2 linked regions of the Neodiprion lecontei genome follow. The main gene of each other region encodes a partner of the protein of the gene in region 2 in a complex. Links are inferred from orthologs where the notes say so. Each region holds a gene or a part of one and is shown on either strand. Other genes may lie near its edges. The genes, in order: transcriptional activator Myb and protein lin-54 homolog.

Region 1 (4,820 bases), on a different chromosome or scaffold from region 2:
AGTTCGCCTCTCGACATTGTTTATAATTCGTACAAACGAAGACACGAGCCGTGCATGAGAAAAACGTTCAACTACCACGGACTCGACTTCCAATTTTTTTATATTATCTACATCTGACTCTCCGCTCTTCGTATGGGGCGCAAGGAGAGTAAAGGATGGGGAATGGGAATGGGAATGGAGGGAAAAGAGGAGACGGGGGGGAGGAGGGAAGGGGGGGCCGGCGACCAGACGACGACGTAACATTTGAACCCTCCTCGGTTTCGTTCGAGGTTTCATTCGTTCCTCGTTCCCGACGATCGTCCTTCCCTACTCACTTACCACCGACTGACTGACTGTCTGACTGACTGACTGACTGATTGTCCTCAACGTTAGTTGCTATGCGGGACGACGCGATTGCGTCACACCGAAACCCCCTCTCTCCCTAATCGCTCTCTCTCTCTCCCTCTCTTTCTTCTCGCTCGCTATTATCAACGACGGAGAATTTATTTTTATTCTTGATAAATAGAATCACGCGAAAGATGTATCATCGTGAGAGGGAAGCAGCTTGCTGCCGTCTTAAAGCCACTTTTCTAATGATCTAGTCGTCATTGTGGATAAAAGACGTGTGAGAGCTTTCTTGTGTTATGAAATGAATAAGGTTGCTGGGTCAAGTAACATTATTGTAAAAACAGTCTTGTTACCGAGTTTAAACTGTAAGCACGCGTTTTGCTATTAAAGCATCTGTTTCAAAACACTCTCAATTTCGCTACCTGATAATTCTTTTAATAAACTCGCGAACCCAATTATCTGAACCTATGCATACCCTAGATAAAGTAAAATACAGTTGAAATAAAAGAAAAGAAAAAAGACGTTGCTCGATTTAACGATTGATGAAACTTGGAAATTAATTCATTCTATTCTGTTTATATTTTGAGTGCAATGATAATAATCCCGATGACAATGTAATGTTCTTCGTATTGTTACATATCGTATTCTTCCCAAAGGTTTCAATTCGTTGATTTGACTCCGTCGTTGGTGCAGTTTTTATTTTTTCATTCGATTCTTTTCAATGGAAAGCTGACACCGAACGAACCCTTTACTCGCTTCCTGCAAGATATACTCGATTTCCTGTGTATGTATATATATATTTATATGCATGTACCTCCCACGGCTGCTGCTGGCCCATTTCATCTCGCGTTTACGCGTGTGGTGATGTTGCCATGCTGCGCCGAGAGCAAATAATCACATGTATGGTGGACGTGTGCACACGCATATGGAAAAACAAGCGCTCTTTGTTTAAACATCGGTATAGGTACGCATATGCGATACGTTTAATAATGTATACGTATGTAGGTACACATATCCCACAGAGTTGAAACGTTCTTATTACGAATACAGAGTCGTTCTTTCATTGCGATTCGAACGTCCTGAGAACAAGGATAATTAGGATAACCTGGTCTGCTCTGTCGGAGATGGAAAAATACCATAATCCCTTCCTTCTACCGACTTTCCCAAAAGTTTTCACCTTTTTCAAAAATCTACTGAAAACCCTGAGAAATTTCATACGCTATTACACGAATATCTAGATCCTTTTTCTTTCGATCGACACACCTCGGAATGCGCGGGAAAATTTAAACGCGCTCTCGTGATTCGTAGCTTTTTACAGTTGCGCCTGACGACGAAGGCATCGAGATATAGAGTCGCTGTGCGTGGGGTATTATGGCATTGATAAAACAAGGGGGGGAAAGATAAACGGCGATAAAACAAGTAACGTGAAAAAATGAAACAGGAAGGCCCGGTGCGACTGCCGCGGGCCACGTGTTCCGGCAGACACCTGTCGTCGTTCTTTCTAGGTGAGCGATAAACGGCGAAGTATGCAGTCGAAAAAAACAAAAGACGGAAGAGAAGGAGGAGGAACGAAGGAACATTGAACCACATGTCTTACAAAGACGGAGGGGTGAATTTTTCACCGAGTTTTGGGAAGCAGGGGGTATTGATCGAACGAAGACGTTGTTTCGGATAAAATAAAACGAAAACATGAAAGAAGGCTGAGAATTTTTTTTTAAAAAACATGCTAAATCACACGCGACATTCGAATGTTGTATTACGAACATTGTAACCGTTGTTTCAAATGTGCCTAAAACAACGATCGGATCGTTACTAAAATGCATAATGTTGCAAGGTACATTGTAAGCGCAGCAGCTTAGATTTTGTTTACGCAAATATATATGTATATGTGCAAAGCTGCGGTGTAAGGATCCGTAGGGGAGTTGAATAAGTAACAAATCGCAAAGGATTTAAATTATGGAATGACGAATTACGCGGTCTTTGAGCACAGCTGATTACGCTGGCAAGGCAGACAACGCGTGTTGTTTACATGCGAAAGTAAAGTGACTAGCGTCACGAGATGTAATAGAACTGTCAACAATTGAGAATCGCCGCAGAGAGATTTTCGCGTTCGAAATAGATGAAGAAAAAAAAAAAAAAATGAAGAAGAAGAAAAAATGTAAGACGAAGAAGCGTGTTAGCACCTTGCGAATGTTTAGTAAACACCGAGAGACGATCATTGAATTGGGTAGCGAATAAATTTATGTATGTATGTACGATAAGTTGGAATAATGTATTTCTAGTCTTCTGACTCACCTAGCTCGATAAAACTGCATTTCAATCCGAGCAGGACATGTTCTTCGATCTTTTGCAATTCTCTCGGTAAGGGATTACTTGAGAGAATATGAAGTGTAAGCGATCTCTCTCTCTCTCTCTCACTCTTTGGTTAGTTATTATAGCATTATCGATTAGCTTTGAGCGTGCAGAGATGATAACAATATCTGCAAAATGGCCGACGCATCTATTTCTCACCCTCTCTGCACGCTGTCCGGGTTAATTTGTCAAATTAGTCGAAATACAGTTTTAAGCGTTGCACACACTGACTGATCACTCTCACGGATTTCGCGAATCGAACACCCCGAGAATTGTTTAAAGCACACACCGCACGATCATAGATTTATTTTGTTTCCGGCGCGAGGCGGGTGTTCTGTTTGTTTACACAAAGGACGACCGGCGGCAGCCTCGGTCCCCGAAGAATTCGTTAGGCGATCACCACCGCTGCGCAGGGTAAGTTTTCGTTTGCAGAAAATTATGCTGGCAGCGCGGGAACCGACTGTTTCGGTGACACTGGTGACATCTAGAAACTTCTGAGCGAAGTACCGGTGTGGCGGAACGCCGGAACGGAACCAAACGAACGGCGCCAACGGACGTGCGATGTTGACTTGTTTGACAGGCCGCTGATTTGTCTGCGAGAGCCTCGCGGTAAACGTTCGGTTCACTGGGAATTCGTTCTGTTTATTACTCGTCGGGATGAAATTCAGATGCAGAATGATCGACTCCGCAGCGATGCGCGACTTCACTAGTAAGAGGAAAGATCGATGTTTCACTGGCCTAACCATAACCTGTTTATAATTTATGTGTACGAAAAATGTAACAACTTTGTATATTTCAATCGATAGATGTGGCAAACACGGTATCCCGCCTGGCAAAGGCTTGCGTGATACGTCTTACAAAAGACGAGGTGTGCTTTCACGTCGGTGACGACTATTCGCCGATAGCGTGGGCTGTTTTGTACCAAAACAAATTCTTCAGCGAATACACCATGGTAGGTGTGTGCGAGGAACAGGATGAGATATACCTCGAATTCTCACCTGCCATGCTCGCAAAGAGCCTAAGCTCCCTCAAAATGACCGCCAAGAGCGTCAAGATCAAACTTACCAACAGAGAACAGCCATGTCTCACTATCGATATTGAATTACCTTCGATAAGCAACGAGCTTAGACAGTGCGTTCATGATGTACCTGTTAAAGTAATTCCTCGAAAAGAATGGGGGGAATATCAGGCTCCAATTATACCGTCGTTCGATGTATGTTGAAGAGACCTAATACTGAATCATATCGTCTGGCAACTTAGCTCGCGATCAAGTTTACTCCTGCAAATGCATCTCTATTTTTTGTTACAGGTTTCCATAGAGATGCCAGACATGAAACACTTGCGAAATGTTGTCGATCAGATGGGAAAAATGAGTCCACAACTTGTCGTAACTGCTAAGAAAACAGGGAAATTAATACTGAAGGTGGAAACCAGTTTTGCTACCGTAGCGACGCACTTTCAAGACTTGAAGGTTGGAGGAGACGATCGAGACTCAGGAGTAACGGATGAAGAAGAGGAAGAAGTTTCGGCCACCATAGATATTAGGAAATTTGGAATGTTTCTAACATGGGATATAATAAAAGCCGAAAGCGTAATTTGCAACGTAGTGGCTGACAGAATGATTAACATGCATATGAACATTGATGGACATTTAGAAATACACTATTTCATACCAGCCATTTCAATTCTGTAGAAATCAATTAGAATAATAAATTATAACTTTTTTTATATTAAAAAATTACGTATTTGTGCAACACCGGAAATTAATCGATTCAGATTCCTGATCGCCATATAATTCAAACAATTATCTCATTATGTATATGTAGACCAAGACAGTCCTCCAACGATGGACTTGCAGTAATAATGAATATCAATCTTTCTGAGATTGGTTGGAGTGCATTTTTTACTCTTTGAAAACAAAACAAAATTCATACAATATTTGGAAGTACAGCAGATATTCGGTCATGTCAATATTCCACTCGAATTGTATTCTTAATGCAGATTAAAAAATTGAATTGTGTAGTTGAATTAGAGTACCCACCGAATAAGATGTTCAACTGGCATATCTGAATTCGCTGAAAGATGAAATCGTTGACGGTCAAGTTTGCAATTCATCCAAGGTCCTATGAAAGTAGTCACTT
Region 2 (5,194 bases):
TGTAAAACTAAAAATACCTGTCTTATGATGACTTTTTGTGAATTCTGTGGCATATTTTTTCCAGTGCTGGAGAACGTTGTGGTTTGGGAGTTGGAGACTATTGATGACTTGGCGTGGCTAGTCATTGAAGTAGGGGCTGGTAATATCTTGGCAGGGGGCTTCACAGTCGTAGCTGGGAGAATTGTCATTTTGGAAGGTTGAGTTGAAGTTGATGTGACCAATTTATTCACAATTATACCCTGTACAAACATTTAAACACTTAATACACTAAGTCAAGTTACCTCCGGCAAAAATTATGTGCAGAAAGGTTTAAAAATGTGCACGTATTCCCTTAGAATGTAAATTTCCGAGTTTCCCAGTTTTTCTGAAAAATCTCTTACAATTTCTAAACATTTCTAGAAGTTTTACAGAAATATCTTACTTCCGAAACAGAAAATTAATTTCAGTACATCTGTGGAAAACCCATGCCATTCCTTTGAAAATTCTGATAACTTTCTGTAATCCTAGTTTTACCGAAAATATTTTTTTTCAGACATGTGATTCAACTGTTCAACTGAAAATTTCAAATCTCTCTCAGATGTTCATCATAATTTTCTTCTATGCAATGCCAGTAAGTAATACATAGAAACACCAAATCTTGAACTATGCGAGGTGCTGGTTACTAAATTCGGTTCCAGAATCATATAGGTATTCTTTAGAAATTGGTTCGATCTTTACTTCCTAGTCAACTTTTTAAGAAATAGTCAGAAAACAGAAAGCTTAGAATTTCTCAATTTTCAACAGAGAATGAAGTTTTCAAGAAATATGAGTAATTCCCAGACCCCATTTACAACATCTGTTGAAGTTATTGAATATTCGTAGAATAAATCGAACGCGTATGAGCTACAATAGTCTTACAAATATTTCTTTTAAGTAACAATACCTGCTGTTTGTGCGGCGACGATGGCAGTATCTGCTGTATCTTCCCGGAGGAGAGAAGTCCCATTTGCTGAGCTTGTGCAAAAGTTATAGTTTTCGTTGGGCTTGCGATGCTCGGACTGGCTCCGCTACTCGTGATAAACTTGATAGTCTGCGGCTGCTGATTGTCATGTTGGGTGTTGGCAAGCAAAACCTGTTGACCTGTCTGGCTCTGATTACCGGTCAGAATCATTTTTGTGTATACCTGTTTATTCCGTTCAAATTACATTAGAAATTTGCAGTAAATGGAAGGCAGATCGATAAGAATTCAATAAAAAACAATTGTTACACCAACAAAGCGTAAAATATTTCTATTTCAATTTCTCATTCAGGTGATAAATACCAGTATTCGATAGCACACGATCCATGAAGTAAGACTCACGTTTCTGTTTTGTTGTACAGACTGAGCTGGTCTTTTTATCGCCGACTGAACAGGTTTGACGTTCTGTACATTGCTCAGAGTGATGGTCCCAGATTGGCTAGTTGTCACGATGGGTCTTGAACCTTGTGCCGATCTCAGCTGTACTATGTTGCCGTCTGCAGACTTGGCCGTTATCAGAGTCTGAGCCAGCGATTGTAACTGACCAGGCGATGCTGTCGATGGGTGAGATATTTTCAGTATTTGGCTTGTGCCTTGGCCACCTGCTGGTGACACAATCATTATTGACTGGCTTTGAGACACTTGTGGCACAGTTGGCTTCACCTGAAAAAAAGTTTTACCCAAGTGTAAATAGCAATGTTCAAGTTTAAGGATGATGGGCTTCACGGTCTAAACCAAAGACTAGGAAGAGAGAGAAAAACATTTCAATAATCTGTAAAGTCACAGAAATAATAAAATGGAAATTTACCTGTATTGCCGACACAGGCACTCTTTGCAGGGTTGGTTTAGTTTGGAATACAATATTTTGACTATTCTGATTAGCTGCTGATGAGTAAGTTATCTGTTCAGGCTGAGCGTTGTCCGATAGATCGGTCATCTCAATGTCAGACGCTGTAGTTGTAGACTCAATGCTTCGATCGAGAAGCATAGTTTCGTCGTCAGTTGTCATTACCTCTTCAGCGTTCATGCATTCAAATTCAGCCTGAATGCTTGCCAATGCCTCAAAGTCGTTGTTCGAGTACTGCTCTGAGCTGTGCGACAAACTTAGAGCGCTGAAATCTCCATCGCTCAACGTTCGTGAATCCAATGCCAGAGGTTCAACAAGGGCTCTTGCCCCTGGGCTTTTATTACTTGCAGCCATACTCTGCTCAAAATTTATTATTCCTTAGCTGAAATTGCCAAATTGGAGATACATTTATAAGCCAGTTTTGTAAAGCGGTGAGTTTACACACCGAAAGGTATTATCGATTTACAAACATGATCACCTGGCGATTAGAAGTAGACTCATTACTTGCACAATTCATGCTTCAAAAATAGCTGTGCTTTATATGCTTGCTGAAGATAAATAAGCAGCAAAGTGTCATAGTTGGAACTTTTTCCAAGGAATTTTATCTCAAATTGGGTAGCTAAAAATTTCATTGGGATAGGAGAAAAGCGAAATGATTGTAGTCACTATGTAGCAGTATAGTTTGTTGACGTTGTTTGTACTATAGTTCAATACTGAGGATAAGCGTGATTTTAAAAATTCAAAAATTCAAATAGTTGTTAATGATTCAGGCGTTTTGGGAGCGATAAACAAGCGAAGGCGTGGAATCGATCGCTAATCGGGGAAGCAATAATGGGCAGGGATTCGAAGTTTGAAAAATGGAACGAACAAATTTGAATATCAATGCAAAACGTTTCGAAGCTTGGACGACAGACGGTCGCATTAGCGCCATTTGTTACATCAACGCGCCATTTTAACACAAACAGTATTCGATGTGGATTCAAGACTATTAAAATTAGGTGAATAGTTGAAGATTCTACTTATTCTGTGAGTATAATACGAGAGAATTATTCAACGCATCTGAGATCGAAATATTCACACGAAAGAGGCTCAAAATTGCGAAAAATTGAAGTTAACCTAGAACTCAGTTGTTTGCAGAAAGTTCGTGCTGCGCGCATACGATGGTTCACATTCTGACTGAGCAATGACTCTAATTACTTCAGAACTGAAGCACAGTTTAAAATAAATGCGATTTGAACGTGCTCTAAATTAGTACTGCCGAATGTTCTGAACTCACCTGCGTACTTTTCTGGCATCCCGAATTTGTTCAAAATCACGCGCCCACCATTACTATCCCAAGATGCACCACGCGCTTCTATTCTATATACGAACAGACCCAAAGTCATTAATGGTCGCGCTATACGTGGAAGAAATTCTAACCGTTCACTTGCTGCATCGCTTCTCGGGATACATTTCTGACACTACGCACAGTAATCTCCTATCTCTGTTGCACTATTTGATCGATGGATCGCTCGGTCTCACTCCTAGGGAATTTTAGTTTTTAAACCAGTGCATGGTGTACAAAATTATAATAACAAACGTGATAGGCACAGAGAGAAACCTATAGGCACAATTGTAGTATAGTTGATATTATATTATTATATATTTCCCAAAATATAGATGTATGTACAAGAAATTACAGGTTTAAGGGGCTGCTCTTATATTTATAGTATATATTTCCAAATATCTAAATCTCAAACACTTATATACTACTGGAGGCATGGTTTCTACGAAATCGAAATTGTAAATTCGTAGAATTTATGACATTTATTTATTTCTGCGTCAAATGAAAATTCGTTGCAGTGTTTTTGTTTAGAATTGTGTATAGAATGGACCTGTTAAATCTTTTGTCGCATTTGAAATACGTGGACAACGTTTACAGATATACAGAAGATTACAAATGTAAGTTGTAATATATACTACGTGATTTAAAAATAAAAATGTAATTTGTATTTCCGTATCACCGGGCGTAGTAGAGTTATACACGGGAGGACCACGGGGAGGACTTGAGTTGAAGTCCTCAGCTCTACGATGGGAAGCAGGGGGAGCAACGTGGGAGCAACTCGCAAAAATTGTAAGAAGGGTCACGTTATTCAGCCGCTACTGACCTCCGTCCCACACCCCGCAAAGGTAGTCGTTTATAGTGACATCATGGAAAGCATGTTGCGGGACTGGTAGTAGCTCTGTTCGTTTTAATTACACTTTCTACACTTTTTACACTTTCCCTAGAAAAGGGCACCTTCCATTGGCTAAATTCAGGATAAGTGTAAAAAGTGTAGAAAAGTGTAACTAAAACGAACAGAGCTATTGATTATTAGTATTATTACCATGATTTCATTTTTTCTTATAATAAAAATTTATTTACCATTATATAATTATGAATAACACATACAAAATGTCATATTGCACGCAAGCACTGTTCAAATTATTGAAAGTACATCGAAGTTGACCCCCAGCTTTGCCCGCAGTTACTTTATTTTTCAAAAGAATGTACCGGATGTACACCACATTCGCTGAAAATTCCGTAAAATAGAGGCAGCGCTTACCATGATTTCGATAGAGGAACAGAGATGTAGAATAACTGTCGATACTGGATCTAATTTCGGAACGCAGGAATGAACTTGTTTCTCATTCTACGTGTTTCACAGCATTCTTCAATTTGGTCGAATTGCAAACGACGTCTACCGTCTTCGTCGCATCTTCAAAACGTTCGTGGTCGTTGCAAAAATTGAAGAACCCGATCGAAAGAGATTGAAACCGGTGCAAAGCCGAATTACCGAAACTTTGGGAGAAAATATGGTCGTGATGATGGCCTCGGTGAGGCAACAGCTGAGTACTTTATCTCATGCCGGAGGTTCTCACAAGGACCAGGCAGAAAGGTACGTTTCTCTGCTCACATGCTGTCTCATGTCGTCTGAATATTAATTCCGCATGGTTTTTCAGATACCGAACGCTATTGGATTTTCTGGTAAAATCTGCGGGCGAGGAGTTGGTTGACATGCTGAAACTCTTTATCGAAGCAAGTATGTGCACATTAATCAATGTATCTATTATTTACAGCTGATTCCTTTTTGTAAATCTATTCGCACGGAATCATTACATACTCAAAACATTTATTATGTTGCAAAGAAACTAATGGTGAATTATTTATATTTTCAGTCGTCAATGAGAACGTAAGTTTGGTTATATCAAGACAAGTTTTGACAGAGGTTAGTAGCCGGTTGCTGGTCTTACCTGATGAAGTTTCAAAGGCTGTTGCTCATTACACCCTTGATAAGGTTTGCTCCTCTTAGTCTCACTATTATGTATTC

Evidence for each region.
Region 1: protein lin-54 homolog (region 2) and transcriptional activator Myb share a complex: the UniProt entries of both Drosophila melanogaster proteins name them as parts of the DREAM complex. The link is inferred for Neodiprion lecontei from reciprocal best matches to the Drosophila melanogaster genes mip120 and Myb.

What each region holds. Positions count from the first base shown.
Region 1 is NC_060264.1:1,904,161-1,908,980, reverse strand, and holds the start of transcriptional activator Myb, read right to left. Parts: upstream 3,059-4,820; 5' UTR 2,643-3,058; coding exon of another isoform or gene 2,623-2,642; intron 1-2,622. Other genes in the region: checkpoint protein HUS1, read left to right, coding at 3,337-3,388, 3,486-3,892, 3,989-4,372. UniProt on the Drosophila melanogaster protein: DNA-binding protein that specifically recognizes the sequence 5'-YAAC[GT]G-3'. Component of the DREAM complex, a multiprotein complex that can both act as a transcription activator or repressor depending on the context.
Region 2 is NC_060261.1:11,991,092-11,996,285, forward strand, and holds the start of protein lin-54 homolog, read right to left. Parts: upstream 3,197-5,194; 5' UTR 3,121-3,196; intron 2,227-3,120; 5' UTR 2,199-2,226; coding exon 1,806-2,198; intron 1,661-1,805; coding exon 1,340-1,660; intron 1,163-1,339; coding exon 923-1,162; intron 240-922; coding exon 18-239; intron 1-17. Other genes in the region: COP9 signalosome complex subunit 4, read left to right, coding at 4,680-4,762, 4,827-4,906, 5,043-5,161. UniProt on the Drosophila melanogaster protein: Component of the DREAM complex, a multiprotein complex that can both act as a transcription activator or repressor depending on the context. In follicle cells, the complex plays a central role in the site-specific DNA replication at the chorion loci.